Ovis aries: one gene and its partners. The protein of the gene in region 1 purifies or fractionates together with the protein of each later gene. This does not show direct contact. Links are inferred from orthologs where the notes say so. Each region holds a gene or a part of one and is shown in the gene's direction. Other genes may lie near its edges.

Region 1 (10,050 bases):
GGAAGACCTCCTGAGCTCAGGTCTGAAAGTCTGGCCAGCTGTTAACCTGTCATTTACAAAACAAGTTTCAGGTCCAGACACTTTCTTCCCGGGAAGACAGAGGATTATGGAGTCTCCTTGAGGCTCCAGAGGGGCCACCAGATGGCACTCTAGAACCTACTGCAAGATTAACTTCCTTCCTCTTCCTCTAAGTCTTCCCGGCAGCCGGGCCCCGCTCCGGGCGGGACCAGAGGGGCTGAGGCATATCAGCTTCCCCCTGGGGTTCCCCGACTTCAGAGGTGGCCGAGCATTAGGCGCAGCATAAAACCGAGTAGCAGCAGGGGCTGCCAGCCGGCTTGGACAGGCCTGGGTGTGAGGAGACCGGAGCCAGGTGCCTCGGCTGGGGAATGGCGCTCGGTCAGCGGATCCCGCAGCGGGGTGGTCCCCAGGTTAGAGCTAGTGCCTGTCTGAGGGTCATTCTCACTCTGGCTTCCAGAGCTACACAAATATTTCTCCTCCAAGGGGCGCCCCTGAGTCACTCCCGATTGGCTGTGTAAGTCCAGGAGTTAAACTTTCAGCCAATGAAAAAGGGCATGGCGAGTGACGCACGGAAACGTCACGGGAATTCCCCCCTCCCGGGGGCGGAAAAGGGGCTTTCCCGGCTGGAGTCCTGGTGGTGGGAGAGGTGTCGCGACCCGTCCGAGGTGGGTCCGGCCGGGAGAGAATCCTGAACCGGAGCCACCGCCGCGGTGAGTGGCCGGGTTCAGACCCCTGGGTGGTGGGACACCGGCAAGGGCGGGAGGAGGGTCCTTAGCTGACCGAGCCTTAGAGCTGAAGAGCGGCATCTGCGCATTCAGAGAGCGCGCATACGAACAGGACATGCGGATACACATCGATATCCTGTACAAAGATATGGGCCGTACGTCCATCTACACGTATGCCGCAGGTGCACAGGATCGCCCATGCATTCAGACTCGCACATACATGCATACGCAAAACACACTCACCCGTGCACAGGTGCCTGGACACACACCCTCCACGCAGAAACTCAACGACAGGTTCCCCTGTGCCCTCAGATACACGCTGACATGTGTCCACACTAATAAGCTTAAGGACTCTCACCTGTACACGCATGTCCACGCCATGCACACAATGCGCAAGCACATGGGCTGAAACATATTAGACACCTGTACAAGTGTTACATACGGCCATGGGACAGGGGCGGGGGCGGGGCACCCAAAGCAGGTGCGGTGTGGGAATCAACGACTGTTGAGATTTTCGGGAAGAGGGAATGGAGGTGCCCATCCCAACACCCCCTCCGGCCCCTTGGCCTCAGAGACTGCTTCTCGGGACAGAACCCCGGGGCCCTCTACTCGGAAGAGCCCCCACCTACAGGCCTTCGGGGTGGAGGCCTTCCTACAGCAGGAATGTCCCCCCAAAACCCCCCGGGGTGAATCAGCCGTGGCCTCCCTGAGGGTAGAAAATCCCAAGGTTGCTCCAGGAGGGGGAAGGCGGGGGGGCCGGTCCCCGGACTAGGAGCTTCCTCCGGCCTTGAAAGACCCCCAGTCCCCGGCGCCGGCCTGGAGAGAGGAGGGGGGTGCCCCCCCAACCCCGCGGGGCCTTCCCTGGGTTTGATTGCCCCTCTGCTTGCAGAGACGCTGCAGGCGCTCTCCGGCCAGCGAAGAGACGACCTCGCGCCCCTCCCGCCCGGGGGCGTGGTCAGTGGCGTCATTTCCAGGCCCGCCCCCTGGCCCCGCCTCCCCCTGGTATTTTCGGGACTTTCCTAAGCTGTTCTAACTTTCCTGCCCCTTCCCCGGCCTGGCCCAGCCCAACTCCGGATCTCGCCCTCCACCGGATCCTGCCCGCCACACCCGGACGGGTAGCTGGAGGAGATCGGACCCTCCCCTAAATTTGGGCCCCTCTCTCCCCCCAACTCCCGTCCTGATCTATCTCTCCCTACACCCGCCACTCCTCCCCACCTAAGGCGGGCGCCTGAAACTCTGGGAAACAGAACCCGGCCGAAGCCACCGGACAGAGCCGGGCCTAGCCCAGAGTCATGGACAGTTGCTACGACCCAGTGAGTCACGCCGCCTGGCCTCAAAGCCTGCCGGCTGCCCCCCTGTGCCTGTCTGCTTGTCTGCCTGCCTGTCCTAGTCCCTTCTACTCCCTTGCACCTCTAATGTCCTCAGATTATTTCACCCTGCCTGTAAGTCAGTCTCTGCAAACTGGTTTCAGTAGGAGCTTTTTTATGGGCCTGCCTAGGAGAGGGGGTGATTGCTAATGGTTTAGAGAGCTGAGAGGTGGAGGGTTCTGGGGGTGGCTCAGAATCAGCTGCCATCTCAGTCTGTCTCCATACCAGGGTCTGGATGGCATCATTGAATATGATGATTTCAAATTCAACCCGTCCATTGTGGAGCCCAAGGAGCCAGCCCCAGAGACAGGTTAATAAGTCCCCTGACCTGCCCTTGTCTTGGAGGGAGCGGGAGGGAGGAGGAGGGAGGAGCATGTGGTGTGTGTGCCCTCTGTCTTGGGAATGGGCTCAGAGGTCCTGGCTCAGCAAGGCTCCTCTGTCCCCAGCTGATGGTCCCTACCTGGTGATTGTGGAACAGCCTAAGCAGGTGAGCAAGTAGAAGGGATGGCTTCAATTTTGGGGGCAAGTGGGACAGTTGTAGCTGGGTGGCCACGGGCAGGGTAACTGATCACAGACCCACTTCGGGTTGGGATTGTTAGCAGCTGCTGATCACAGTGGCCTGGTGGTGATTCAGGATACATACGTCCAGTCATTATGGTCACTGCTGGCTGGGGATGTGGCTGGTGAGGGGGGATGTTTCTCCTGGTCACAATGTCACTCTGCCCTGGCACCTTCAGCGAGGCTTCCGATTTCGATATGGCTGTGAAGGCCCTTCCCATGGAGGACTGCCAGGTGCCTCTAGCGAGAAGGGCCGGAAGACTTATCCCACGGTCAAGGTGAGCCAGGGTGGTGCTGGAGGGTGGGCTAGTGGACAGTGTGTCCATGGGCATTACTGACAGCCCTCACCCTTCACAGATCTGTAACTACGAGGGACCTGCCAAGATTGAGGTGGACCTGGTAACACACAGTGACCCACCTCGTGCCCATGCTCACAGTCTGGTGGGCAAACAGTGCTCGGAGCTGGGGGTCTGCGCAGTGTCTGTGGGGCCCAAGGACATGACTGCCCAGTAGGTGTCCGGTGCCCCCTACCTCTGGTCCCCACTGGTGTGCCCCTCATTGCTTGCCAGTCCTAGGTCCCAGCCCACCTTTGTGAGCTTAGCATCTGACCAAGGGGAAAGACTCTGGTTGGCCCCAGAACCCAGGGCCCCAAGTAAAAACTAGAAAAGCTTCCTAGAGGAAGTAGAGCAGGGCCGAGCCTTGCCGGTGGGTAGGGTGCCTCAGGAGGAAAGAACTGCCCGCAAGGCCTCTGACTTCTCCCTGCCCCCACACAGATTTAACAACCTGGGTGTCCTCCATGTGACTAAAAAGAACATGATGGAGATTATGATACAAAAACTTCAGAGGCAGCGTCTTCGCTCCAGGCCCCAGGGCCTTACGGGTATGGGGGATATGGAGGGAGTCATGGGAGGTGGTCATGGAAGGAATAGAGGAGGAGTCCAGGGGTCACATGTATGCCCACTGCCCAGAGGCTGAGCGTCGAGAGTTGGAGCAGGAGGCCAAGGAACTGAAGAAGGTGATGGATCTGAGCATTGTGCGACTGCGCTTTTCTGCCTTCCTTCGAGCCAGTGATGGCTCCTTCTCTCTGCCCCTGAAGCCAGTTATCTCCCAGCCCATACATGACAGCAGTGAGTATCCTGACCACCTGGGGTGCTGGGTCTGGGTGCCACAGGGAGTGTGGAGGGCAGCCTCGAACTGTGGAGTCAGATACGCTTGGGTTTGAACTTGGGCCCACCATGTATGAACTGAGTGATCTTGAGCAAGTCACGTCCCCTCTCTGAGTAAATGAAGATACTGGCAGTTCCTGTGTCTCTTGCGGTTGTTAAAATACAAAGCACCTGGCTCCCTAGTTGGGACCATGGCTATTGAATCATTTCAAGTAACTGATATGCCATCTCCAGAGTCTCCTGGAGCCTCAAACCTGAAGATTTCTCGAATGGACAAGACAGCTGGCTCTGTGCGGGGTGGAGATGAGGTTTATCTGCTCTGTGACAAGGTGCAGAAAGGTGAGGCTGGAGCCCAGGCTGGGAGCTAGTGATGGGCATCAAGCTTGGGGAGCAACACAGCTTCAGGACAAATGGCCCTATAGATTCAGTTTTCCCTGTAGATGACATCGAGGTTCGGTTCTACGAGGATGATGAGAATGGATGGCAAGCCTTTGGGGACTTCTCTCCCACAGATGTTCACAAACAGGTACCCTAGGGCCAGGGCTGGGTCTGGGCTCAAATTAAGTAAGGCCTTAATGACACCTATGTCCTCCTTCCTCCAGTATGCCATTGTGTTCCGGACACCTCCCTATCACAAGATGAAGATTGAGCGTCCTGTAACCGTGTTCCTGCAACTGAAACGCAAGCGTGGGGGGGATGTCTCTGACTCCAAACAGTTCACCTATTATCCTCTGGTAGAAGGTGGAGCTGGGCTGAAGATCCCAGGGGGGCTGGAGGCCAGGGCTTGACTGGAGGTCTCAAGAACTAGATCAGGGGACTCATGAGTGAAATCAGGAGTAGGGAATGTCCCAGAAAGAGGTGGCCCTAGGAGCCAGCCTGAGGGCTTTTGGGGGAAAGGCCATTACCAGAGTGGGACAGGGCTCTTGAGGCTGGTGCGAGTTGGGGTTTTAACATCTCATTTCCCTCTGCCCCTAGACAAGGAGGAGGTGCAGCGGAAGCGGAGGAAAGCCTTGCCCACCTTCTCCCAGCCCTTTGGGGGTGGCTCCCACATGGGTGGAGGCTCTGGGGGCTCGGCTGGGGGTTATGGAGGAGCTGGAGGAGGAGGTGAGGTGGTGCTGGTGGCAGGAAGGGCAATGGAGGAGGATGGGATAAAGGGGAGAAAAGTTGTGGAGAAGAAATCTGGGAGAGTCCTCCTGGTGCCCTCTGCCCACAGTTCTGCCTGTATCCACAGGTGGCAGCCTCGGCTTTTTCCCCTCCTCCTTGGCCTACAGCCCCTACCAGTCGGGCGCGGCCCCCATGGGCTGCTACCCGGGAGGAGGGGGTGGGGCCCAGATGGCCGCCGAGACGCCTAGTGTGGATGCTGGGGAGGAAGCAGCAGAGCCGAGCGCGCCCCCCGGGACGCCCGAGCGCGAACAGCAAGCCCCGGAGCTGCTGCATCGAGGTATGACCTCGGGAATCCCAGCGGTCGGGACGCTGCGGGTGGGGACCTAGCCCACACCCACGCCCCCTGTCACCCCCAGCCCGGGAGTACAACGCACGGCTGTTCGGCCTGGCGCAGCGCAGCGCTCGAGCCTTGCTGGACTACGGCGTCACGGCGGACGCGCGCTCGCTGCTGGCGGGACAGCGCCACCTGCTGACGGCACAGGATGAGAACGGAGACACGTAGGTGGGCGGGAGAGCGGGCGGGGACCAGGGTTCCGCACGCCACCGGTGCAAGGTCGTGGGGTGTGGAGCAGGGAAGGGACCTATAGAGCCAGGGCTCCGGAGTTAGGGAGACCCAGTTTCAAGTTCGGCCTCGCTACGCTCTAGTTCTGTTCAAGATACTTAAATCTCTGTAGACTTCAGTTTTGTCGATTAAGGGGCACAGTAATAGTACGCACTTACCACAAAAGGTGCGCGGAAGGATTTACTTTCGTGGGCTGGAGAGAGGGAGATTATGGAGGTGGTGGAGTTTTGAGAGTAAAGCAAAACGAGTTGCTGAGCTTCCTAGGCCAGAGTCTCACCCACCAATCCCTAGGCCGCTGCACTTGGCCATCATCCACGGGCAGACCACCGTCATTGAGCAAATAGCTCACGTCATCTACCACGCCCCACACCTCGGCGTGGTTAATATCACCAATCATTTGCACCAGGTGAGGGGTCTCTTGGTGAGGGGGAGGGGTTGGAAGTCAGATAGGTGAGGCAAGGAGCAGGCCTGGCTCACCCTGCCTGCCTTCCCCAGACGCCCCTGCACCTGGCAGTGATCACAGGGCAGACGAAGGTGGTGAGCTTCCTGCTGCAGGTGGGCGCAGACCCAGCACTGCTGGATCGGCATGGAGACTCAGCAGTGCACCTGGCACTCCGGGCAGGTGCCAGCGCCCCCGACATGCTGTGCACCCTGCTGCGGAGTGGGGTTCCTGCCATGCCCCAACTGCTGCATGTGCCCGACTTCGAAGGTGAGTTCATCACCTCATCTGAACCAGCGGGCAAGAGTGGGCACCAGGGAGAGGATCTGGGGAGCGCCTACAGTGGATGTGAGGTGTGGAGGTCAGCTGGTCAAGGGCTCACATTAGGGGCAGAGCTGCGGGCTGAATACCCTGTATCACTAGGGCTATACCCAGTCCACCTGGCAGTCCGTGCCCGAAGCCCCGAGTGCCTCGATCTGCTGGTGGAGAATGGGGCTGAAGTGGAGGCTGCAGAGCGTCAGGGGGGCCGGACAGCCCTGCATCTAGCCACAGAGATGGAGGAGCTGGGGTTGGTCACCCATCTCGTTACCAAGGTGGGACTGAGGACTGTGGAAGACGTAGAGCCAAGGGCTGGGGACGGTGAAGGTGTCGGGGGAGGCCCAGTGGATCAGTCAGTGCTATGATCAACCCCTCCCTCGCACCCCACAGCTCCGGGCCAACGTGAATGCCCGAACCTTTGCGGGAAACACACCCCTACATCTGGCAGCTGGACTGGGATCCCCAACCCTCACCCGCCTCCTTCTGAAGGCTGGTCAGTCCCACCCTCGGGGGCTTATGAACAGGGCTGACGGGGGAAAGGGGGTACCTCCCAATCCCGCACTTTGCAGTCCTTAACGTGGGCTCCGAGGGAGCCTCCCTGTGACTATCTCCCTCCCCCAGGTGCTGACGTCCACGCAGAGAACGAGGAGCCCCTGTGCCCACTGCCTTCGCCTCCCACCTCTGGTAGTGACTCAGATTCTGAGAGCCCTGAGAGGGACACTCGAGGCAGCTTCCGGGGCCACACACCTCTTGACCTCACTCGCAGTAGCAAGGTGAGGCCAGCCCAGGACTAGCAGTACCAGGGGATGGGGCATCCGGGCTTGTACATGGGGTCCTGAGTAGCTGGTACCTGGGGTCAAGTACTGTGATGGGAGGTAGTCATGGCTGAAGCTGTCTCCCTAGGTGAAGACCTTGCTGCTAAACGCTGCTCAGGACACCATGGCGCCGCCGCTGACCCCGCCCAGCCCTGCAGGTGAAGAGCTCTCCCCCACCACTGCCAGACCCTTGACCCCTGCTCACAGCGGTCTCTTATCCTTCGGGACCACTGAAGGAGGTCTCCCTTTCTCCATCCCCATCCTCCATCCACTGCCCCAGTGGCCCCGCCTGCACTATCTATCAGGTTGCCTTGAGATAAAGGTGACATTTGGGTGTCTTGTCTTTGCCATCTCTGGGGGTAACTAACATGTTTATGTGTGTGTCCCCTTCAGGGCCAGAGATACCCCTTGAAGATACAGTCCTACAGAACCTGGAGCATTTGCTTGACGGGCCAGGAGCCCAGGGCAGCTGGGCGGAGCTGGCAGAACGGCTGGGGCTGCGCAGTCTGGTGGACACGTATCGAAGGACAGCCTCGCCCAGTGGCAGCCTCCTGCGCAGTTACCAGGTCAGTCAGGCCCCGGCCCATGCTCCATGCCCCAGTCTCAGATCTCTGGCGCTTCCTCAGGGATCCCACACCCTAACCACAACTCCTGGTTCATGCCTCCTCCTTCTCCTCAGCTGGCTGGTGGCGACTTGGCAGGCCTGCTGAATGCCCTGTCTGACATGGGCCTGGAGGAGGGGGTGAGGCTGCTGAAGGGTCCAGAGACCCAGGAAAAGCTGCCCAGCACAGGTAAAGGGGCCGTAACTGAGAGGTGGATCTGGGCTTGGAGGGTGGGAGGCCTAAGGCCTGACGCTTCCCTGCACCCTTTCCCGCGTCCACTCCCCCAGCAGAGGTGAAGGAGGACAGTGCCTATGGGAGCCAGTCGGTGGAACAGGAAACAGAGAAGCTGGGCCCACCCCCTGAGCCGCCAGGAGGGCTCTGCCACGGGCGCCCCCAGCCTCAGGTGCACTGAACCGCTCCCTACCCACCAGCCCCTTCCGGGCCCCCTCTGTACAGTGACCCTGCCTGTTCCAGTTCTTATTTAACACCCCATGCCCACCCTTCAGTTGGGGCAAATAAAAGATTCTCATGGGAAAGGGAGGGGGCCTGGCCTCCTCCCCAACTTACAGCAGCCCCTGATGTGTGTGACGCTTGTCCTCGGGAAGCAAATGCCTACCCTGGCCTCAGGCCAGGCACGGGAGAGAGGAGGAGGCCCAGCCAGCAAGTCGAGAGCAGTTTTAATGGAGGTGGAGGTGACACAAAGGGCAGGGCCCACTGAAGGAGGGAAGCAAGGCTGCACTGCCTGGCCTGTGCACGGGGCCTCAGCTTGGACATCCATCCTCCTCCTCTGGCAAGGGAGAGGGTGAGCCCTCAGGGCAAAAGGAGGGAAACCAGCTCAACCCCAACTCCTGGCTTGTGTCTGAGCCAGGCCCCAGGATGGAGGGGGACTGCTGGTGTCAGGGGTGGGGGTGGTCTCAGCAGAAAGCAGAAACGTCAGGTCTCCCCCACAAAAAAAAAAAAAAAAAAAAAGGAGCATCAAGAGTCCAGGGGGCCTGGCCCCTCCCACCCCCATCCCCTGTACGAAAAAGTGCAAAACATTATCACAAAAAAGGGGTCTCAGAGGGGCCCTTAGCCTAAGGCTCCTGAGGCCCATGCCCTAGCCCTGCCCTGCCCCGGACACCGCGTCCGGCGCGGTCAGGCCCTGGACCGAGAGGCCCTCACAGGTGGCCCGAGGCCGGCCCGGGCTTAGGCAGGGCCGTGTCATGCAGGTGCCCAGTGGGCACCGCCCCCCCACTCCCACCCCCAGCTCAGGGCTTCCACCGCCCACTGCCTGCCCCTGCCCGAGCCTCTGAGTCAGGACACTGTGCCCGGGGCTGGCTGGAGGTGTTGGGCAGCAGGGAGGGACTGGAGTGAGGAGGGGGGAGTCCATCCTGCGTGCCGCCAGTCTGGGCCACTGCTGCCTCCACCGCATCCAGCTCCTCGCTGCCTGCCTTCAGCTTGACCCGAAGCAGCGCTGCGTATGTGCCGTAGCGGGATTTCTGAGGCAGAAGGGCAGCGGTGAGCCTGCTCGTGCCCCTCTGCCCAGCCCACCCCATCTGGAGCAGGGAGGCAAAGAAGGCTAGGAGATACCAGGTTCTCGCCAACCTCTGGGGCCCCTGAAGCCCCCAAGGACTGACTGTGACCACTCACACCCCTGGGTGTTCTGGTGCCGTTCTCTGGACTCTGTAGACTGCCAGCTGTAACACCTCGTGTTCCTGGAGCCTTTACCAGAGTCAGCAAACTGGAGCCCTTGGCAGAAATCGGCTCCTTTCATCACCCTAGTGGGGACAGACTACTGTCCTCCCTGTGTCACTTGAGAGGAAACTGAGGCTCATGGCAAGAAAGCTGCCCGCCCAGGGTCACCCAGATAGTCCCACTCTGAGCCATGCCCTTAACCACGTGTCTGAGCCTGTGCATGGGACATAGAGGCCCTGAGGGAGCAAGAGGTGCCTGGGCTGGGAGCTTACCTCAAACTCCAGATATGCCTCCTTCTGCCGCTGCTCTTCAGCCTCCTTGCCCCGGGCCTTCTTGGCCAGTTGCGTGGCCCGATGCTCCCTCAGCTCACTTGCCATGGCCTTCAGCTTGGCCTCATGGGTCCGCACCTGCTCCTCCTAGGGGCCAGGGGAGCATGATCAGGGTTACTCTGGCAGAGACAGTGCCTTTGTGCAAGGTTTTTGGAAAGGTGCCCCTTCCTCTGGATGAACAAAGCACCTGGTGTCTGGGTTAACTGACTGGATTTGAGCCTCATGGCCCCCCACATCCTGGTGCAGTGGACAGCCACATCATAGGCAGCAGCCTCGAGTGCGGTGGGCCTAGGCCGGCCCCACTCCAGCGCCC
Region 2 (10,903 bases), on another chromosome or scaffold:
CATCGGACCAGGCCTGGCAGACCCAGTGGAAGGGAGTGAGTGTGCACTCTCGCCAGCTGTGTAACCTGCCCCAGGTTACAACCTCTCTGTGTCTCAGTTTCCCCTTCTGCCCAGCCGACTCCTCACAGGTCTCCTGTGAAGACCATATGAGGGGACACCTCCCAAGTGCACAGCCCAGTGCCTGGCAAAAGGGGAGAGCCCAATTCATTGTCATTATTTATTACTATCCCCTCACAGGCACCATCAATTATTCTAAAACCCAGGTGCAGGAGGACGGGCGGAATGAAAGCTTTATAGCCACTGCCTGTATTCTCTTTGGGGCCCACCCAAGCCAGAAGATGGGGCTTCCTGAGTAGCTCTGTGGTAAAGAATCCACCTGCCAACGTGGGCGATGAGGGTTTGATCCCTGGGTCAGGAAGATCCCCTGGAGAAGGAAAGGGCAACTGACTCCAATATTCTTGCCTGGGAAATCCTATAGACAGAGGAGCCTGGCAGGCTACAATCTGTGGCATTACAAGAGAGTCAGACATAATTTGACTAAATGACAACAACAAAGGCAGGAGATGGATGAAGGCCATCAGGGTGAGGACCCCCAGGAGAGGGGGGCTCAGTGTCCGGCCTGGCTGCCTGTGGAGAGATGGCAGCAGCCAGAGGACAGGGAAACTGCAGGAGACGTCCTCAACAGAAGGCTGTTCAGGACCCTCAAAGGGTCGATTGTTCTAGTCAAGGACTGCTTAGGGCTCGGTTTCTCAGACTCTGGTGACCTCAACTCGAGGCAAGAAATACAAATTACCCGGTGACCTGGTAAAAAGATCTCTACACCACACCCGGAACAAGCCTCTTATAAGAATCGTCACGGGGCACACTTAGGCAACACTTGCTCTGTTTCAGGCATTTACATCTATGAATTTATGTAATCCTTCTTTATAATCCTGGGGCTTCCCCAGTGGCTCAGACAGTAAAGAGTCTGCCTGCAACGCAGGAGATAAGGGTTTGATCCCTGGCTCAGGAAGATCCCCTGGAGAAGAGCATGGCAACCCACTCCAGTATTCCTGCCCGGAGAATCTCATGGCCAGAGGAGCCTGGCAGGCTACAGTCCATGTGGTCCCAAAGAGAAGGGAGGGAGCCATGGGGATCCCTGGGGGAAGAGTCTATTCCATAATCTTATAAGGTAACTACTATTATTATCATCTTCACTCTAATAAGCAAACCTGACCAATAGAGACATGGTGATTGGTTCGGCGAGTAGGACTGTGACCCAAGCTGGGCCAATAGGAGCCAATCTCTGCTCTTGTGCTTGAACCACTGGGAGAAAGATGCTGTTTTTCAGTGGGAGCTGCTAGGCTGGTGGAACTTGTTTTCACAGCTTCCAGGAGCTCCCAATACAGAGAAGAGCCGAGAAAGGGCTCAGCATAGAAGTTGCTGAATCCAGCCACACTTCAGGATCAACAGTTACAGGATCAACACACTCCCTTTTTGGCACCAGACAGTTTGAGTTGGGTTTCTTGTGACTTGCAGATGTAAGCTGTGAATGGTTTGGGGCTGAGAAGTCATGAGAAGCGGCGGGGTCACGCAGGAAGGGGCCCAGGGCGGGGAACTCACAGCGCTCGCTCTGCATGTAGCGGCTCACTCCTTCCAGGGTTAGTTCGTCTAGGAGTCGCTCCTTCTGGGTGCCCAGGCCCAGAGTCTGGGAGAAGAAATTCCGCAGGAAGTCCACTGCCCAAAGAGAAGAGAGACAGCGGTTGGGTGGGTGTTTGTTCAAGGGGACACAGAGGCCCTGAGTGCCCCTGCCCAGCCCTGGGGTCTCCTGTCTTCCCACGACTAAAGGTTGGATGCCTGGCCAGGCCAGGGATCCTGAAACGCTGCATCTGTTCTTACACACTTTGCATGTCACCCCCGGTGGAGGTGAACACCCGGATCCCTGCCTTAAACTGCCCTCCAGCACCCCCCAGAACCGTGCTCCCAAGGCAGATACTCACTCTCTGCTTCTCCGCCAGCGGCTCCTGCCTCAGTGTCTGAATCTGAATCCTGGAAGGGGTGGAGGTGGGGTGATGAGGCCCCAGAAGTGGGGTTAGGGAGGGGAAGAGGGGATGACACCAGGGTTCCGGGGAAAGGCTGTGGCTGGGAGGTGGGCCCGAGGGAGTGAAGGGCAGCGGGGAGCGTGCTGGGGGCGCGTGTGGGCTATGGGACAGGCCGCCTGTGTTGGAAATCCAACTCTGCAACTCGAGAGGAGCGCGGCCTCCTGTGGGTGACTGCGTTTTTCCTGAGACTCCGCGCTCCTCCTCTCACAAGTGGAGCTGGAGGACTGAGGAAGGCCACCTGGAGGGCTGTGAGAAGTGAGTTCCTATGTGAGGCTCTCAGAACAGCCCTGGTTGGGGGCAGCGGTGGTGGTGAGTGCTCAGGAAGTGCTTGTTACTGCTCTCATCACCTCCCATTGTCCACGTCCTCACCTCATATCCCCTCCAGTCCCCTGCCCTGCCCAGCCACCCCGCAGCCCGCATCACCTACGTCAATAATGCTGGTAGAAATGCCTCAGTCCTCACCCTGCGCCGTCAGCCCTCTGGCTTAAAGCCTCCCCACTCCACCTTTCCAACCCTTCCGTCTCCTTTATCAACTCCTCTCCTCGGCCAGGCGCCCAAATCGCGGGTCTGGGACTCTGTCCCAGGCCCTCCCTCCCGTCTCTGTCCGCCTTCCCTGGGCCAGCTCCCCCATGCACGCCAGTGGTCTCAGCCTAGTTTCTGAGGATGCCACCTTTCTGTCTCCAGATCCAGGGTTTCTGCAGCCCCCAGATGCCTCCCCTAAGTGTGACCCCAGACCCCTCGCTCTCACGGTGTCCCAGACTGGCCTCAGTATCTCTTCCAAACTTGCTCCTCCTCCTGGGGCCCTAACTCAGTGTGGCTTCTGTCCCCGTGTTTGCCAGATGTCTCCTGCCTCCCTCACCAGCCCTCCTGCCATAGCATGTCCCCTCCCCGGAGCTCCACGTGGGCCAGCCTGTCCCTCCAGGGGCCCTGCCCCGGCCTCCGCCCTAGCTCCCAGTCTCAGTCTCCATCTCTGATCGACTCTCCTCCTCTCTCTGTGTTGACCTGTCTGGGTCCACCCTTTGCCCTCCACGTCAAAGACCTTTCTCTTTGGCTTCCCCAGTTTAATCATCGGATCACAAACATCTGTGGCATTTACCATGATGCCCGCTCCAAGAAGTCTGGGATTTTTCATGGTCACCACTGGGTAAAAATGTTTGAAGTCCCTCAGTCGTGTCTGATTCTTTGCAACCCCATGGACTGTAGCCCGCCAGGCTCCTCTGTCCATAGGATTCTCCAGGCAAGAATATTGGAGTGGGTTGCCATGCCCTTCTCCAGGGTATCTTCCCAACCCAGGTCTCCCACATTGCAGGCAGATTCTTTACTGTCTGAGCCACCAGGAAAGCCAGGTTTCCTTGCTTTAAGATTGTATCTATAAGCTTTACAAAACTCTGACCATTAGGCAATGTATAACTTGAAGGTGCTTGCCTCCTGAGTCCTTCACCCACAGCCCCGCCTCCCCCACCCCATCCTCCCCTTCAAGATAGCCACTATTAACAGTACAATGGTAACTACTCCAGATTTCTTTCTCTGAATTGGCGATGGACAGGGAAGCCCGGCATGCTGTAGTCCATGGAGTCGCAGAGAGTTGGACACGACTGAGCGACTGAACTGAACTGAAAACTCATTATTTCCCCAGAAATGGGTCACCCCATAGTACAATGCTGCGCCTCGCATTTTCCACCAAACAATATATCACGGACCCGCCAGCTACAGAGTGTTGCATTGTACGGTTCATAGTTCATTTAACCCATCAACTGACAGTCGTTTGGGCTGTTTCCAGTTTGGCTGTATTGCACAATGCTGCAATTTACACCCTCGGATCTCTCTCTTTGGGACTGAAGGTCCCTTTTCCACATGAAACCTTTTTCTCTGACAGTGGCCAGGCTTTGGGAGCTAGCCGAGGGAGAAGCCTGGCCTGACAGGGAGCTCTTGTCCCCTTGGTGTGGCTCGGCCGTGCATCTGTGGGGCGCTCTCGTCACAGCTTCTGCTCTGCCCTACATGTGAACTGCGACCTCGTGTCTGTGGGTGGGCTGGCACGCTTTCAGGCTGCAGACAGAGAAGCTCTGTGGAAGGAGGCGAGGGCCCTGCCCAGCACGTGGGAGCAACTTGGTCTCAGGGGGAAGCTGAAGGTGATGGTGGAGCCTCTGTGACCCCTGCTTCCAGTGAAGTGTCTGGGAGGCAATATGTCAAGGCACCGAGGGTTGCAAACCTGTCCCTGCTCTTCTAGCCAATGGACAGAGGACAAGTTGTTAAAGAACTCAGTTTCCAATTCCTTGGCTATAAAATAACCACAGTAGACCTGTACTCCTCCCCTCCACCGCTGCCCCCAGGATGCTAGGATGCCCATCAAATAAGCAGAGTACTCAGTTGGCTTAAATACTCAGTAAGTGCTAACCATCAAGGTAATCAGCCACCTGAATCCTGAACGCATGACACTCTTTCATGCCCCCCAGGATACCCTCTGCCTGGGACACCACTTCTCACCTTACCTAAGAAAATCCTAAGTTACTCTCCACTGACTACCGTGTGCTGTATCTCAGTCTGACTCTGAGATCAGCCTGTGGACTCTTGCCGGGAAGGGATTGGCTGGAATCTGTGTGATCTCACACGGTTTACTCTGCGCTCCCAGAGTGCCCTGCGCTACTTTCATGATCACCAGTAGAGTCAGTGTCGAGTCACACGTCTGTGAGATCTGTGAATTCAGGAGCCAAATCTCTTCCACGCCCACTGGGAACGAGGTTCAGGAGGGAAGGTGGGTAGGAGGGGTGAGCAGGGAGAAAGGAAAGTTTGCAAGGGCAGGCCTAGGCTTGAGGCCGCACACCCTTCTCTGACAGGCCCCAGAACCCTCCATTCCCCCAGGAGCTAAACCACAAGGTGAGCCGGGGTGAGGAGCTGGGGCAGTGAGCTGAGGGCCCTGGGGTATCTGACTCCCCTCTGCCACCTCCCCCCAGTGTGGGGTGTGGGAAGTCCATCTCTCTCCTTCCCTCCACCCTTGTCCCCATCTCACCTGAGCCTCCTGCACCTTCCCTGCCTGGGTCTCCTCAGGGTCAGAGGCTGGGGGAGGAGGGGGAGCAGACGTGGTTACAGTGAAGGGATTGGTTAAGGGGGAATGAAGGGCTTCTAAGTCGGGGTAGAGAGGGGCAACAAGACCTCCAACCTAGTTATATGGGGTGGGGGTATCAAAAGGGAGTAGATGGAGGGAGGGAAAGGAAGAAAAGCAGATCTTATTAGAGTGGAGAGTGCTGGGAGGAGAGGTGGTTGGTGAAGGACAAAGAGGCTGGGACATGGAGGCTTAGGAAAGCGAAAAGAAAGTAAAGCATATAAGGGCATGAAGGAAGACTTAGGAGGAGTTAGGAAGGACACAGTAGTGTGTGAGTGTGTGCTGGGAGGGTTAGGTTTACAAGCAGAAGAAAATGTAGAAAGAAAGAGAAGATAAGGGATACTGGGGCTGGAGGCAAGTTTGCAAGAAGAGGTGGTGGGGGCGGAACGGAAGGGCGAGATGGCAGGTTTACAAGAGGAAGGAAGAGATAGGAGGGGACACCAGGGGTCCCCAGCACCCTACAGTTCCCACTAACAACCAGGTACCCTTAGCAACCCGGACAGCGGTATTCTAAGTCCCTAGTAACAAGGGTCCTTAGCAACTAAGGTGCGAGACACACGCTATCATTAGTCACTTAGGGGAAGTGGCAAACGGACCCTTAAAACCTCGAGACCCAGAAACCCACCAATCTATCCAGCAATATATATCACAACGGCTCCCTGAACCTCATTCCCCTCCATGCAGCCCCCATCTCCTGCCCCACCACTCCCGCCCTCGGGCCCCGGGGCCTGCAGCCCTCAGCCAGGCCCCGGCGCGGCCCGACCCTCCCACCAGGGCCCCCGACTCACGATCCGGATCGGCCATGGGCGCGGGGCGGGGGCCCTCGGGACTGTCACCGACTGCTCTATCCCGTGACGGCACCGGAAACAGGAGGGGGGCAGAGATAGGTCAAAGAACTACAACTCCCAGGAGGCATAGAAAAACGTCCGGAGCGTGCCCCTCTGAGGTAAGAAGAGACACGCGAGAGCCGGACTACGAATCCCAGAGTGCCTCGCGTCCGCAGCCATGTTGGTAAAGGGCGCGCGGAATGAGTGGGAAAGGGTAGAGAGTCGCAGTCCATCTGAATACTCTGATTGGTCACGGTGTAGTATGAGGGCGGGGCGCTTACTATTTAGCCGACTCTGATTGGATGAGTCCGGGGGGAGTGTTGGGGAATTCCCAGCAGGGCGGAAGCGCCAGAATTCCAGGCAGAGCCCAGCGACTGGCGGGCAGCCGCTGGGGTCCCCTGAGGCTTTGGGGGCTATGGCCGGGGTCGCGTGTTTGGGGAAAGCTGCGGACGCCGATGAATGGTGCGACAGCGGCCTGGGCTCTCTGGGTCCGGACGCGGCGGCCCCTGGAGGACCTGGGCTAGGCGCGGAGCTGGGCCCGGGGCTGTCGTGGGCGCCCCTCGTTTTCGGCTACGTCACTGAGGATGGCGACACGTGAGTGAACCTTAGCCTGCCACACCGAGCCTTAGGATGATCCCACATCTGATTCCCTGTTAGTCCCTGATACTGATTTTCCAACCTCTTAATCCTAAATCTGTCTTCTAATGCTTACTCTGACCTCTAACCCCCGAGTCTAACCCTTGATAAAATCAATTTCCAAGCTAGTTTTTATCATAACCCCGTCCTTTCTGAAACTTTGGCCCTCAGAGTTTCATATCCATTGACTAATTCCACATTCAAAACTCAATTTGAGCTTCCTGACCCCAGTCCTGAGACCTATCTTAAAACTATAGCTCACAGGCTCCTTCTGACATCTCACCTCCAAATATGATCTTTGATCCTTAGCTCCTAATTTAGGAGCTTTAAATTTTGATTTCCAAAATTAACATTTGGCTTTTGACTCTAAGATCTCCCACTTTCTGAGCACTGATCTTCAAATCCTACATTGAAAGAGAAAATGTAAACTCTATGACAGCAAGGATTCATCTGTTAAACAAGTATTTATCTAGCACCTACAGCGTTTCAGGCCCAGTTGTAGATGCTGGTGATAAAGCAGTGAAGAAAGCACAACAACTTATGCCTTGTGGAGCTTACGTTCTAGTGTGGGGGGTCTATAAATGGAAGGGCAGACAGACTGACAGGAAGGAAGAAAGGAACAGTAGGAGAAACAAAAAAGAAAGAGAGAAGGAAAGAAAGAAACAGAGAGCCGTATAGACACAAAGTAAGAAAGAGAGAGGAGAGAGAGAAGAAACAGGCAGAAAAACGAACGAAAGAAAAATGGTGTGTCAGAAGACAGGAATTTCCTTGGTGAAAAATAAAGCAGGAAAGAATGAGACAAGTAGATTATCTGGGGAGAGTATTCCAGGTAGAAGGAACGACGTCATAAAGACCTAATTGAGGGAATGTACCCGGGGTTTTTGTGTGTTGTGTTTACTGCCGTAGCCCCAGTGACAGAACGGTGTTTGACCCATAGGAGGCGCTCAAGAAACACCGGTCTTCCCAGAGAACCAGCTGTGCTTTCATTTATTTTCTCTCGTCTCTTTTTTTGCTTTCTGTTGTGTTTATCTCTGTTTTGACTTTCGTTATTTACTTTCTTCTGCTTACTTTGAGTTTATTTTTGTTCTTTTTCTAGTTTCTTAAGGTGAAAGCTGAGGTCATTGATTTGAGGCCTTCCTATTTTTCTAATATAGGATTCATGTGAATTTCCCGAAGTAGTGCGTGAGCTGTATCTCATCACTTCTAATGTGCTGTGCTTTCATTTCCACTTAATTCAGTATAGTTTCTAATTTCTCCTTTGATTTCTTCTTTGGGCGGTGGATTATTTAGGAGTATGTTATTTAGTTTCCAGATATTCCGAATACCTTCCTTTTATTGGTTTGTAGTTAAATTCTATTGTGTGTGCAGTTGAAAAGAATGTCTGGTATCTTGTTGTTGAGTGTAGTTCTCCAGATGTCAGTTAGAGGTTGTATGGGTTTCTTTTCTAAAACTTTTATTGATTTACTTTTGGCTGTGCTTCGTCTTTCTTGCTGCCCACGGACTTTCTCTAGTTGCGGTGTGAGGGCCTCTCATTTTGGTGGTTTCTCTTGTTGCGGAGCAGTGTCTCTAGGGCACAGGCGCAGTAGTTGCTTCGCGTTGGTTTAGTTTCCCCGAGGCATGTGGGATCTTCCCGGATTAAAGACTGAGCCTGTGTTCCCTACCTTGGCAGGTGGATTCTTTAGCACTAGACCTGTAAGTCCTGTGCTGGTTTCTTTGGTTCTTCTCTTTTCCAAGTCTATTATATCCTTGCTGGTAATTTCTCTCTACTTGATCTATCAGTTACTGAGAGTAAGGTATTGAAATCTTTAATAATAATTGTGGGTTTCCTTGTTGTTTTATCAGGTTTTCCTTCATGAGACTGGATGCTCTGTTATAAGGAGTGCAAATGTTTAGGTTTATTGTGTCCTCTTCCTGAACTGACCTCTTTATCATTGTGAAATAATCTGCACTATCCCAGGTAATATTCCTTGCTCTGAAATCTTACTCTTATTTTAAAACACTCCTACTTACTTTTGACTGACAGGCGTTAGTATGGTATATCTTTTTCCATCTTTTTATTCTTAACTTAGTTTTAAATTTATTTGAAAAGCTGTTACTTGTATAGTTAGGTTTTGCTTTTTAAAAAAAAATGTTTATTTTTAATTTATTTGGCTGCATCGGCTCTAGTTGCAGCATGTGGGATCTTGTTCCCTGACCAGGGATTGAACCCTGGCCCTCTGCATTGGAAGTGCAACGTCTTAACCACTAAACCATCAGGGAAGACCCTAGGTTTTGCTTTTTTATCCACTCTGACAGCTTCTCCTTTTTTAAAATTTGTGTTTATTTAGCTGTTTCTTTTTGGCTGCACTGGGTCTTGGTTGCTGCACACAGGCTTTGTCTAGTTGTGGCGAGCGGGGTATGCTCTCTAGCTGTGCTGTGCAGGCTTCGCATAGTGGTGGTCTCACTTGTTGGGGAGCACGGGCTCTAGAGCACACAGGCAGTTGTGGCACGTGGCGTTAGTTGCCCCACGGCATGTGGAATCTTCCCAGACCAGGGATCAAACCCATGCCCCCTGCCTGCCATTGCGTTGGCAGGCGGATTCTTAACCACTAGCCCACCAGGGAAGTCCAGTGTCTACCTTTTAATTGGAGTGTTTAGACTATTTGTATTTAATTAATTATTGATATGGTTATGTCTGTCATCTTGTTATTAGTTTTCTACTTATCTCTCCTTTGTTTACCTTTTTTTCCTGCCTTTTGGAATGAGCACATTTTGTTCCATTGTATTTGTTTTGTCGGCTTGTTACCTTTTACTCATTATTTTTTATTTTACTGGTTGCTGGGAAAGATAGGTTGGCAAACTGGTTTCCAGGCAAAATCCAGCCAGGCACCAGCTTTTGTATGGCTGTGAGCAAAGCATGGTTTTTTACATTTTTAACTGGTTGGAACAAAATCAAAAGAAGAACATTTCATGGCAAGTGAAAATTACATGAAATCCAAATTTTAGATTCCGTAAAGTAAGTTCTGTTAGAATCCCGCCGCGCCGCCCATTCATTTATCAATACATATCACCAATGGCTGCTTTTGTATGCTAATAGCAGAGCTGAATAGTAATAGACAGACCATAGCATCCACTAAGCCTGAATTATTTATCTGGCCCTTTACAGAAAATGTTTGCTGACTCCTGCTTTAGGGCTTCTCGTGGCCCGTGGGCTTAGTACACGCTCCCCAACCAGGGATCGAACCTGCGTCCCCTGCATCGCGCGGCAGATTCTTCACCACTGGGCCACCAGGGAAGCCCCCACTTTACCTTTATTATGTGCCACCTTCAAGTGCTGTTGTGCTCCTTCTCATAACATAAAAGAACCTTAGAATCGTGTGTTTCCATTTGTCTCTTCCTGGCCTGCAGTGTGTTGCTGTCACAGATTTCCTTTATCCATGTATTCTAAACTTCAGACGTTGTTACTTTTGCTTAAACACTCCTTTGTTTTTAAACCCTATCAGAAGATAGGAGATTTACATATTGAGAAAGAAAAAATCTTATGTACTTACGCATATAGTGACTGTTTTCAGGGTTCTTTATTTTGTTTTCCATATTTTCATTTGATGTCATTTTCCTTTTTGCTCACAAGTTTCCTTGAACGTTTCTTGTGATGTGGGTCGGCTGGTGATGAGTTCCTTCAACTTTTGTGTAGTGGAAAGCATGTATTTTTGTCTCTGTCTTTGAAAAATATGTTGGCTGGGTTAAAGAATTCTAGGTTGACAACCTGTCTTTGAGTACTTGAAAGAAGCGGCTGTGCTGTGTTCTCTTGCATTATTTCCTTTGTGAAATCTGCTGTCATGCTTATTTTTATTCCTCTGCACTTAAGGTATCTTTTCCTCTGACTGCTTTGAAGGTATTTACCTTTATTGTTGGTTTTGAACAGAGTTTCCATGTTGGGCCCTGGTGTGTGTGTGTGTGTGTGTGTGTGTGTGTGTGTGTGTACATGTTGGGCCCTGGTGTGTGTGTGTGTGTATGCATGTTGGGCCCTGGTGTGTGTGTGTGTGTGTGTGTGTGTGTGCATGCGCATGTTGGGCCCTGGTGTGTGTGTGTGTGTGTGTGTGTGTGTGTGTGCTAAGTCGCTTCCGCTGTACCTGCCTCTTTGCGACCCTATGGACTATGGCCCACCAGGCTCTTCTGTCCGTGGGATTCTCCAGGCAAGAACCCTGGAGTGGGTTGCCATGCCCTCCTCCAGGAGATCTTCTGACCCAGGGATCAGACTTGTGTCTCCTGCGACTCCT
Region 3 (10,803 bases), about 1.9 Mb from region 1:
ATCCTACTCATTATGCTTATTGCTTTGCAAGGTGAAAAGATAGAAATGAAACATTGGTTATTTTAAACTGTATATGACATTCTCTTTGGTGCCACTTCCATCCTTTTTTTTCCTCTTTTTCTCCTGAAGCTTATAACCTTGAAATCAGACCAGCAGTCTCATAGGTCCTGTCAGAGGATGGATGGATGGTAATAAATGATTCTGATCATGACTCATTTCATTTTCCTTTTTTGACTTTGTTGAGCATATTTTATATATCATATAATTTAACCATTTCAAGTGTACAATTCAGTTTGTTTTTTTTTTTAGCAAACCACCCTAATTGCACAGCCATCATCATAAATCAGTTTTAAAACATTTCCATGTCTTTATGTTCTTTAACTACTAGTATCCATTCTGCCCACCCCAGAAAATCACTAATTTACTTACTGCCTATATAGATTTGCTTTTTCTGAACATTTCATACAAGTGGAATCTTAATCCCTTGTGTCTCATTTCTTTCACTTACCGTTATGTTTTTGAGATCGATTCATGCCATAGCATATATCATTACTTCATTCCTTTTGATTACTGAAAAAGTATTCCCATTGTATGTTGTTGTAACTTTTTGCTTTTGCCCTTTTGGGTCTGTTGACTGTTTTCACTTTAGTCCATACTACTGTTACTTATTTTCCTTAAATAAAAATTTAGACCTTAAGTCTGTGAGATGTTTGCTAATGAACTTGACTTCACAGTTGGCATTTCAAAGTAGGAAATTTGGTGGTTAGGTGCTTAGAGAACCTAGAATTTTCAAGAATCTTTTCTTCTTAATTGTTGGTTTTTTTTTTCAGAGGGGCTGTGATAGCTATATGGTTTATTTGTTTGATAAAAGTAAGACTGTATATGAAGGACCATTTGCTTCCAGAAGTTTATCTGACTGTGTAAATTATATTGGTAAGTATAGTTCATTTACTGACTGAGCTTTAAACCTGAAGTAATATAATTTTGACACGACATGATTAGTAGAAATGGTTCTTTGGTGTTTCTGTTCTGTGTCATACTTCAGGATTCTATATGTGCTAAAAGATGGGTATGTATGGTTTGGAAGGTGAAGAGGTAGATTTTAAATCACCACCAGACCCCTCATTTGGCAGAAGACGACTTTCCTATGAATATGACTTTCACGTGAAAAACTGAATCTTCACTATTAATTAAGCCCACTTTTTAGTTTCTTCACTACTTAAGCATGTTCAAATACTTCATTTTATCCTATGAATACTACTTAATGTTCAAATGATTTCATTTTTCCTCAGAGAATTAATGTTTTCTACTAAAGAAGTAAGTGGTTAATTTCTATCTACCCAAAACTAAAAACAAGCATATTATAAAATCAAGGACAAAATTGGTCACAAGGGCTGAAATGATGTAATCTTTCCTTTTCATTAGTTTTAAAAAAAGTTCTAGATTTATAGAAAAATTGAGCAGATAGGACAGAGTTCTTATGTTATTCCCCTGCACATATAGTTTCCCCTGTTGTTAACATCTTACGTTATTATGGTACTTTGTTACAACTAATGAACCAATATATTGTTATTAACTAAAGTTCATACTTTATTCAGATTTCTTTTAGTTTTTATCTGGTGTCCTTTTTCTGTTCTAGAATCCCATCCAGAATACCATGTTACGTTTAGTTGTCCTGTCTGCTTAGGCTCTTCTTGGATGTGATAGTTTTTCAGATTTTCCTTATTTTTGATGACCTTGAAAGTGCTGATCACATATGTTGTAGGATGCCCCTCTGTTGCAATTTGCCTGATTTTTTTCTCATGATTAGGCTAGGATAATGGGTTTTTGAGAGAAAGATCAAAGAATTCAAGTGCCATTTTGAAAACATTATATAAACGGTACATACTATAAACATGATTAACGACTGTTAGTGTTACCTTGCTCACTACCTTGAAGTAGTCAGCTTTCTTCACTGTAAAGTTTAGTCTTACCCTCTCCTCCTTTCAATACTCTGTGGAAGGAAATCACTGTGCAAGAATCCACACTTAAGGAGTAGGAGTTACATGCCTCCTCCTTTAGGGTAGAATGTCTATATAATTTATTGAAAATGCTTCTGCTTACATGAATTATCTCTTCTCTCCCATTTATTAATTTATTTAATCATTTATGATATAAATTTGAATTCATGGATATTTATTTTATATTATAGATTATAATCCAATACTAGTTTATTTTGTTATTTAAATTGTTGCAGCTTACCTTAGAAGCTCTTTCACTTGACTTCCTATGCCTCTTCTACTTGACCCATCAGTGAGGGTGTTTTTGTTTTTGCTTTTGTTTTTTTAAGCATTTCCTTACTTTCTGGTACCATGTAGTATTCCAGGCGCATCTTTTAAATTTTCTACCATAGTCCTAGAATTGGCCATTTCTCCAAGGAGCCCTGGTTCCTTTAATTGAGAACAGCATTAGAAATCAAAATTTGGATACTTGGTATGCTTCTTGCTACTGGGGTATCATTTCTGGGCACTTTCAGACTTTTTTTTTTAATATATAATTTTTTTCTAGACTCTCTTCCCCTAGACTATCTTTTTTTAAGTGTGTGAGTTTTTATTTTGTTTTGTTTGTTTGGTCTGTCAGAGGAAGCCTCAGGATTAAGTGTGGGTATGTAAAAATAGAAGAGAAGTTAGTTGAGGCTATTTATCATTATTAGGGGAGGCAAAGATTTTTCCATATACACAGCTTTATTTGTTTGACATCTGTTTCAGATAATGTGTTTTCTCAATGTGAAACCTATTGTAGTGCCCTGTCTCTGAAGATTTTCATTGGAAAAGAATAACAGAATATAATCACCACCTTAAAGTACGAGATGAATCTCTCTTCAATCTTGGAGAATTTTATAATGTTAAAATGAAATTTCATTGAACTTATTATCTACCTGCCATGGTTTTAGAAAGAAACATCCCCTTTACCTAAGAAAACACAAGAGATTATCATAAATAGATAATTTCATAAGTCTTGCATTGAGAAAGGCATATCTTTTAAGGCATATTTTTAAAGGCATATTGTTAAAGGCATATTTACCCAGTGTGTTTTTCTGAAGCTGGGTTGGTAGTTCAAGAGATGAAATTTGTTATTCAGAAGCAAAAAAGACTATAGCAGATTGTAGAGTACTTGGGACTTAGTTTAGCACTTCAAAAGAATAAATAATTTGGATTATTGGAGAGGGAAAAAAAAAGAGGATTCCGGATTGGAGAGAAACAAGGAAGAAAAAGACAGATACAGGAATAATTGTAAGCTTTGTGATTATGTAGTAATTATGTCTTCATTTTTATTTCCCCTTGTATCTGGAACAGGACTCAAGTAATGTGCAGGTGTTCAATAAAGTTACACTGACTGAATGGAACTGTAACAAGTGGTTCTTTCTAGCATCTGGTTTCTAGCATCTATAGGAATATTTGTATGGACAGAAAATCACAAAGAATAATAAATGAACACTAGAATCTTAAAAAGTAATTCCCGTCTCCTTTCCTCCATCTTCTTACACATAGTACAGGACAGCAAAATACAGCTTCCAATTATCCAGTTGCGTAAAGTTTGGGCTGAAGCAGTACACTATGTGTCTGGGCTGAAAGAAGACTACAGCAGGCTCTTTCAGGGACAGAGAGCAGCCATGTAAGTGAATTGTCTTGTTTATAGGCACAGTGTCATGTGCATTCATGCTCAATTAAATTTTGCTACTTTTCCCTAGTCAATATCCCATGCAAAAATATATTACTGGGCCGGTTTGTAATGTAATATTCTGATGAGGCATGTAGAATTCTTATTAACAGTCTGAAACCATCCAATTGCAGTAGACTAACAGTAGTTCCTGAATGGTCCTAGTATAAGAAGATTGTTTTATCATAGAGTATCACAAGCAGAAATTCTTTAGAGATGAGATTCTAGAGATAAGCTGTTTCTCATAGATTGATAATAGGAACATAGGCTTTGGGCTTATGGCAGTTCGAGTTTTTAAACTTTTGTAAAATGCTTATATCTTGTTTTTTTCTTGCTGTGGTTTAGGTTAAGCCTTCTTAGATACAATACTAACTTGACAAAAATGAAAAACACTTTGATCTCAGCATCTCAGCAACTGAAAGCAAAATTGGAGTTTTTTCACAAAAGCATTCAGCTTGACTTGGAAAGATATAGTGAGCAGATGACGTACGGGATATGTAAGTGTTGGATAATGTATTTGAAACAAGTGTCTTGTCTCTTGAAGCCATCTGCTATGTTACCTTCTTACCTGTTAGCCAGTTGTTTCACTTGCATTCATATTAGAACAAAAGATAGGACATCTCATATTATTGTAAACTGTATTTGGTTTGAATATTAGTTGTTTTTTTTTTTTAACATTTAGTTGAGCAGCTTTACTCTGCCCACCCCTCACCCCCACAATTGGACTAAAATTGCTCGCCTTTAGAAAAATGCAAAATGATTTAAGAATTTGATTGTCAAACCTCATTTAAAAAATAGATACAAAGTCTGTATTAGGGTGACTTCTTAGCCTGGGATGTCTTAAATTACTTACCCTTCTATAAATAATAATACATGCAATTTCAGGGTTTTTTTTTAAAGTTTCTAAACAACCTACTGTGGAGTCCCATTGTTTTTTATTGTACATAGCCTCCAATGTTTTGGTATTTAATTCTAAGCTTATCTCCCTTCAGATGTACTAAGGAAATGTAAAAAGCAGAGTTAAAATTCAAATAATAAACCAAAAGAGTTGCCTTCAGCATTTCTGTTTGTATACTTATCTTGAGCAAGGTGTGTATATTTCAGAATTAAATGATCAACAGTGTCCAGCTGGGTAAATAAGTTTTCTTACCAAAGCTGGTTCTATGATTGATATTTTATTTCTGTTTGTGTATTATAGGCATTCTGATGAATAGCAAAACATAGTTATTTCATCAGATTTTCTTTGACTTATCTTACTAAGTTGTATATCTTAGACTACTGTTTAAAAAGAGTGAGGTAGACCTCTGTGTGCTGATATTAAAAGATCACTTGATCTTTAAGGCAGCAGTGCTTTAAGCTGGAGGAAAAAGCAAGGAAGGAAAAGTATATAGAGATGATTCTATTTATGGGAGAAAAGGAGATGTGTCGCTGTAAGAAATGATTAACACTGGGATCGCAGAAAGTGGAGAGTGGAGGGGAGGAGACTTCTATATCTCTATATAGTGTTTGATTTTTTAAAAATACCATGTTCATGTATTACTTTAAAATTTTTTTATTTTTTATTAAGAGAAAGTCATCTGTATTAGTTTCCCAGGGTTGCCATAACAAATTGCGATGAACTGGGTGACTTAAAACAATATAAATTTATTATCTCACAGTTTCAGAGGCTTAAAGTCTAAAATCGATGTGTTGTCAGGGCCATGCTCTCTCTGAAACCTATGGAGAAGAATCCTTCCTTAGATTCTTCTGGCATTCCTTGGCTTGCAGCTGTGGCACTTTAGTCTCTGCCTCTGTTGTGAAATGGCGCTTTCCCGTTCATATGTCTGTTGCTGTGTTTCTTCTTCTTTTCTTAAAAGGACACTAGTCATACTAGGTTAAGACTCAACCTTAATTTAGCTAATTGCACCTGATGCTATTTCCAAATAAGGTCAAATTCTGAAGTACAAGGTTAGGGCTTCACCATCTTTTGGGGGAACAATTCAACTCATAACTCTGTTTTTGATGTTAATATGGCAAGGAGATGGGTAGGTCAGTAATTAAACCTATGGCTATTTCTGAGATAACCAATTAAGACTTTTTTTTTTAGCCTCAGAAAAAATGTTAAAAGCTTGGAAAGAAATGGAAGAAAAGGCTATCCACTATGCTGAGGTAAAATCACTGAGCTCATTCTGTGTGCTTATTAACTCCTGAGGTCTCCCTTAGAAATTCTTTGGTTTTGGTTTGTAGAGTATTTCTCATATCATTCCTGAATATCAGACAGATACCTAGTATGTGTATGTAGAGGGAAGTACCACAGTGGATAAAAACAAGAGCTTTGGGTAAATGAGACTAAAATGAAGCCTCACTGAGCCTCAGTTTCCATGTTATATTATGGGGACCTTTTTTAGTGGGGTTATACAGATTTAAGTGGGAGTGACTAATAAATGGTAGTTATCACTGTTATTTTTAAGACTGGTTTTGATAGGATGGCTGGACACATCCTGGTTTACTCGGGACAGTTTTCGTTTACCTCTCTTGCCTTAATTATCAATTAGTTAAGTTAGTTAAGTGAAAAACGCTCAGTCGTGTCCGACTCTTTGTGACTCCTGGACTATACAGTCCATGGAATTCTCCAGGCCAGAATACTGGGGTGGGTAGCCTTTCCCTTCTCCAGGGGATCTTCCCAACCCAGGGATTGAACCCAGGTCTCCCACACTGCAGGAGGATTCTTTACCAGCTGAGCCACAAGGGAAGCCCAAGAATACTGGAGTGGATAACCTATCCCTTCTCCAGGGGATTTTCCCACCAGGAATTGAACCAGGGTCTCCTGCATTGCAGGCAGATTCTTTACCAACTGAGCTATCAGGGAAGCCTTTATTATCAATAATACTCTCAAAATTTTGCTGGTTTGGACAATAAATTTTTTATGGTCACACTATAGGTGGCAGATTCCTTCTTTACCTGGTACATCTGTCTGTGGTCCCGTTAAATTGTTGCTCTCCTTGATGCCAGCACTTCCTGAGGAATGAGTGTGGCAGTTGGTATCCTGGGTTGGGAAATCCAGTGTCTTTATCTTTCTGCATCCTTATTCAAGTTGGGAACAAGAGACACTGAAAATTGTAGAACCAAGATGCAGTGGTATTGATAGTCACTTTTACTTATTAGTGACACTTCTGTCTTTTTCCTTCTCAGGAGGAGAAAGAAAATGCTAGTAGTCTACTGTTGTCAGGAGAGAAGCCTGAAATAAGTTGGTTCTCATATGAAAGTTACATGCCATAATCTGAGAGACAAACAGACTTGAACAAAATCAGTGTTTTACATTAAATCACTTTGTTCTGTTACTGTAAGAAGTTATTCTCTGAGTTCCTCATATTGTGTGGTGGTGAGCCTGTCATTTCTTTTGTGTTTCATCATATTTTAGGTGGGTGTCATTGGATACCTGGAGGATCAAATCATGTCCCTGCACACTGAAATCATGGAGCTACAGAAGAGCCCCTACGGACGACGTCAGGGAGACTTGATGGAATCTCTGTAAGGGTGAAGTCATGTTGTTAGTGTTGGTGTCTGTAATTTTTGGTAGCAGATTATTCTTTCATTGTATTTCTGGAAGATTATATGTGGTTCTTTTCTATAGTTTTCTTTCCACAAATACATTGGCATCATATTTAAAAAGGAAGTTTTTTCCTAATCACAGGAAATTTTGGCAATAACTCTTTGGGTTGATGTTTACTATTTATTTTAAAAAAACTTTTTATTTTATATTGGGGTTATATTATAGTTGATTAACAGTGTTGTGATTAGTTTCAAGTATATAGCAAAGGGACTCACCCATATATATATATATATATATATATATATATATATACACCTATTCTTTTTCAAATTCTTTTCCATGACCTTTGCTTTTTAAACCGAAGCATCTTTTCATGTGAGTGTTACTAATTTTTCAAGTATTTTAAGTTCAAACTATTTCCCTACTTACCACACTTCTGGTTTAAGGAAGGTATCATTTATTAAATTCCCTAAATAAGGTTAACGTCCTAAGTGTTTGGATTAGAAACTTCAGATTTTTTTTTCTTTAATCACAGGACATAATTTTTTTCCCATTTAAGTGTTTCTGGTGCAGAGATACTATATAAGTGATGGTAGATCAGAGCAGATACTTAGTATATTAAACTTTGCATCTTAAGATCTTGCTTATTACCCAGCGAAACACCCTGTAAAATATTCGTTGGCAATATATAATTACTTGAAAATAGGGTCGTTACTCTATTCAAATAATATTGTTCATTTCAAGTTGGAAATAAAAAGTCGTTAAACTATCTTCATGTTTAGAACATGTTTTCTCTTTCATAGGGAACAGCGTGCAATTGATCTATATAAGCAGTTAAAGCACAGACCTTCAGGTAAGACACTTTCACAGTACACAAAGGTGTTTTAGGAAACCATCACTAGCTTAACAAATCTGTGAAACTGGATTTTAAGCAAGCTGCAGAATCAATTCCAGTTTTGGTATTGCCATTGAGATGTTTAGGGGCTTCCCTAGTGGCTCAGTTGGTAAAGAATCTGCTTGCAATGCAGGAGACCTGGGTTCAGTCCCTGGGTCACGAAGTTCCCCTGGAGAAGGGAATGGCAAACTACTCTAGTATTCTTGCCTGGAGAATTCCATGGACAGAGGAACCTGGCAGGCTACAGTCCATGGGGTGGCAAAGAGTCAGACATGATTGAGCGACTAACACTTCAGCTTCACATTGAGATGTTTATAGTACAACAGCATTTAAGTCTGTGAGAATTTAAGAAATTAGGAAGGCAAAGTAATAAAGTTTGAAATAGAAAAGTTTTTAATATATTTATTTTTAATTGAAGGATAATTGCTTTACAGTATTGCATTGGTTTCTACCAGACATTAAAATGAAACAGCCATAGGCTTACCCATGTCCCCTCCCACTTGAACATCCCTCCCACCTCCCTCCCCATCCAACCTCTCTAGGTTGTTACTGAGCTTTGGTTTGAGTTCCTGAGTCATACAGCAAATTCCCATTGGTTATCTATTTTACATATGGTAATGTATATTTCCATGTTACTCTCTCCATACCCTCCACCCACTCCTTCTCCGCATCCCCCCTGCCACCCTAGCCATGTCCATAAGTCTGTTCATAATGTCTGTGTCTCCATTGCTGCTTTGCAAATAGGTTTTGTAGTACCATCTTTCTATATTCCATATATATGTGTTCATTTCAGTTCAGTTGCTCAGTCATGTCTGACTCTGTGCAACATGGACTGCAGCACGCCAGGCCTCCCTGTCCATCACCAACTCCTAGAGTTTACTCAGACTCAGGTCCATTGAGTTGGTGATGCCATCCCACCATCTCATCCTCTGTCGTCCCCTTCTCCTTGTGCCTTCGATCTTTCCCAGCATCAGGGTCTTTTCAGATGAGTCAGCTCTTCACATCAGGTGGCCAAAGTATTAGAGTTTCAGCTTCAGCATCAGTCCTTCCAATGAATATTCAGAACTGATTTCCTTTAGGATAGACTGGTTGGATCTCATCTTCTCCAGCACCACAGTTCAAAAGCATCAATTCTTTGGTGCTCAGCCTTCTTTATAGTCCAACTCTCACATCTGTACATGACTACTGGAAAAACCAGAGCTTTGACTAGATGGACCTTTGTTGACATAATGTCTCTGCTTTTTAATAAGCTGTCTAGGTTGGTCATAACTTTTCTTCCAGGGAGCAAGCATCTTTTAATATGGCTGCAGTCACCATCTGCAGTGACTTTGGAGCCCCCCAAAATAAAGTCTGTCACTGTTTCCATTGTTTCCCCATCTATTTGCCATGAAGTGGTGGGACCAGATGCCATGATCTTAATTTCCTGAATGTTGAGTTTTAAGCCAACTTTTTCACTCTCCTCTTTCACTTTCATCAAGAGGTTCTTTAGTTCTTCTTCACTTTCTGCCATAAGGGTGGTGTCATCTGTATATCTGAGGTTATTGATATTTCTCCTGGCAGTCTTAATTCTAGCATTTCTTATGATGTACTCTGCACATAAGTTAAATAAGTAGGGTGACAATATACAGCCGTTATGTACTCCTTTCCCAGTTTTGAACCAGTCTGTTCTGTATCCAGTTCTAACTGTTGCTTCTTGACCTGCATACAGATTTCTCAAGAGGCAGGTCAGGTGGTCTAGTATTCCCATCTTAAAGAATTTTCCACAGTTTGTGTGATCCACACAGTCAAAGGCTTTAGCATAGTCAGTAAAGCAGAAGTAGATATATGTGTTAGTGTATGTTAATTGTTTTCTCTTTCTGACTTAATTCACTCTGTATAATGGGCTCTAGGTTCATCTACCTCATTGGGACTGACTCAAATGTGTTCCTTTTTATGGCTGAGTAATATTCCATTGTGTATATACACCACAGCTTCTTTATCCATTCATCTGTCAATGGATGTTGGGTTGCTTCCATGTCCTAGCTATTATAAATAGCTGCAGTGAACATGGGTTACATATGTCCTTTTCATTTTGATTTCCTCAGGGTACATGCCTAGTAGTGGAATTGCTGGGTCATATGGTGGTTTTACTCCTCGTTTTATAAGGAATCTCCATACTGTTCTCCATGGTAGCAGTATCAATTTGCATTCCCACCAGCAGTGCAAGGGGGTTCCCTTTTCTCCATACCCTCTCCAGCATTTATTGTTTCTCAATTTTTTGATGATGGCCATTCTGACCAGAGTAAGGTGATATCTCATTGAAGTTTTGATTTGCATTTCCCTAATAATGAGCGATATTTCAATTTAAGTCTGAATTTGGCAATAAGGAGTTCATGATCTGAGCCACAGTCAGCTCCCGGTCTTGTTTTTGCTGACTGTATAGAACTTCTCCAGCTTTGGGTGCAAAGAATATAGTCAATCTGATTTCGGTGTTGACCATCTGGTGATGTCCATGTGTAGAGTCTTCTCTTGTGTTGTTGGAAGAGAGTGTTTGCTATGACGAATGCGTGCTCTTGGCAAAACTCTATTAGCCTTTGCCCTGCTTCATTCCATACTCCAAGGCCAAACTTGCCTGTTACTCCAGGTGTTTCTTGACTTCCTACTTTTGTATTTCAGTCCCCTATAATGAAAAGTCCCC

What was found.
Region 2: the proteins of NFKB2 (region 1) and NFKBIB purify together in Homo sapiens (affinity purification with mass spectrometry; 4 studies listed by BioGRID and IntAct, counting the BioPlex papers as one, with this or other methods). This does not show direct contact. The link is inferred for Ovis aries from reciprocal best matches to the Homo sapiens genes NFKB2 and NFKBIB.
Region 3: the proteins of NFKB2 (region 1) and CHUK purify together in Homo sapiens (affinity purification with western blotting; 4 studies listed by BioGRID and IntAct, with this or other methods). This does not show direct contact. The link is inferred for Ovis aries from reciprocal best matches to the Homo sapiens genes NFKB2 and CHUK.

Annotation. Positions count from the first base shown.
Region 1 is NC_056075.1:22,789,682-22,799,731, forward strand, and holds NFKB2 (nuclear factor NF-kappa-B p100 subunit), read left to right. Parts: upstream 1-311; 5' UTR 312-428; exon of another isoform or gene 429-1,745; intron 1,746-1,774; exon of another isoform or gene 1,775-1,963; 5' UTR 1,964-2,035; coding exon 2,036-2,056; intron 2,057-2,338; coding exon 2,339-2,420; intron 2,421-2,556; coding exon 2,557-2,597; intron 2,598-2,847; coding exon 2,848-2,946; intron 2,947-3,025; coding exon 3,026-3,177; intron 3,178-3,441; coding exon 3,442-3,548; intron 3,549-3,636; coding exon 3,637-3,795; intron 3,796-4,068; coding exon 4,069-4,173; intron 4,174-4,256; coding exon 4,257-4,360; intron 4,361-4,436; coding exon 4,437-4,575; intron 4,576-4,809; coding exon 4,810-4,938; intron 4,939-5,065; coding exon 5,066-5,275; intron 5,276-5,354; coding exon 5,355-5,496; intron 5,497-5,851; coding exon 5,852-5,966; intron 5,967-6,055; coding exon 6,056-6,269; intron 6,270-6,422; coding exon 6,423-6,592; intron 6,593-6,707; coding exon 6,708-6,810; intron 6,811-6,938; and 11 more. Other genes in the region: PSD (PH and SEC7 domain-containing protein 1), read right to left, coding at 8,982-9,212, 9,681-9,824. UniProt on the Homo sapiens protein: NF-kappa-B is a pleiotropic transcription factor present in almost all cell types and is the endpoint of a series of signal transduction events that are initiated by a vast array of stimuli related to many biological processes such as inflammation, immunity, differentiation, cell growth, tumorigenesis and apoptosis.
Region 2 is NC_056067.1:47,977,081-47,987,983, forward strand, and holds the start of NFKBIB (NF-kappa-B inhibitor beta), read left to right. Parts: upstream 1-6,358; 5' UTR 6,359-6,423; coding exon 6,424-6,602; intron 6,603-8,830; exon of another isoform or gene 8,831-8,903; intron 8,904-10,903. Other genes in the region: SIRT2 (NAD-dependent protein deacetylase sirtuin-2), read right to left, coding at 1,603-1,716, 1,980-2,028, 5,089-5,135, 5,970-5,985. UniProt on the Homo sapiens protein: Inhibits NF-kappa-B by complexing with and trapping it in the cytoplasm.
Region 3 is NC_056075.1:20,890,565-20,901,367, reverse strand, and holds part of CHUK (inhibitor of nuclear factor kappa-B kinase subunit alpha), read left to right. Parts: intron 1-830; coding exon 831-933; intron 934-3,530; coding exon 3,531-3,654; intron 3,655-4,044; coding exon 4,045-4,196; intron 4,197-5,785; coding exon 5,786-5,847; intron 5,848-7,099; coding exon 7,100-7,209; intron 7,210-8,034; coding exon 8,035-8,084; intron 8,085-10,803.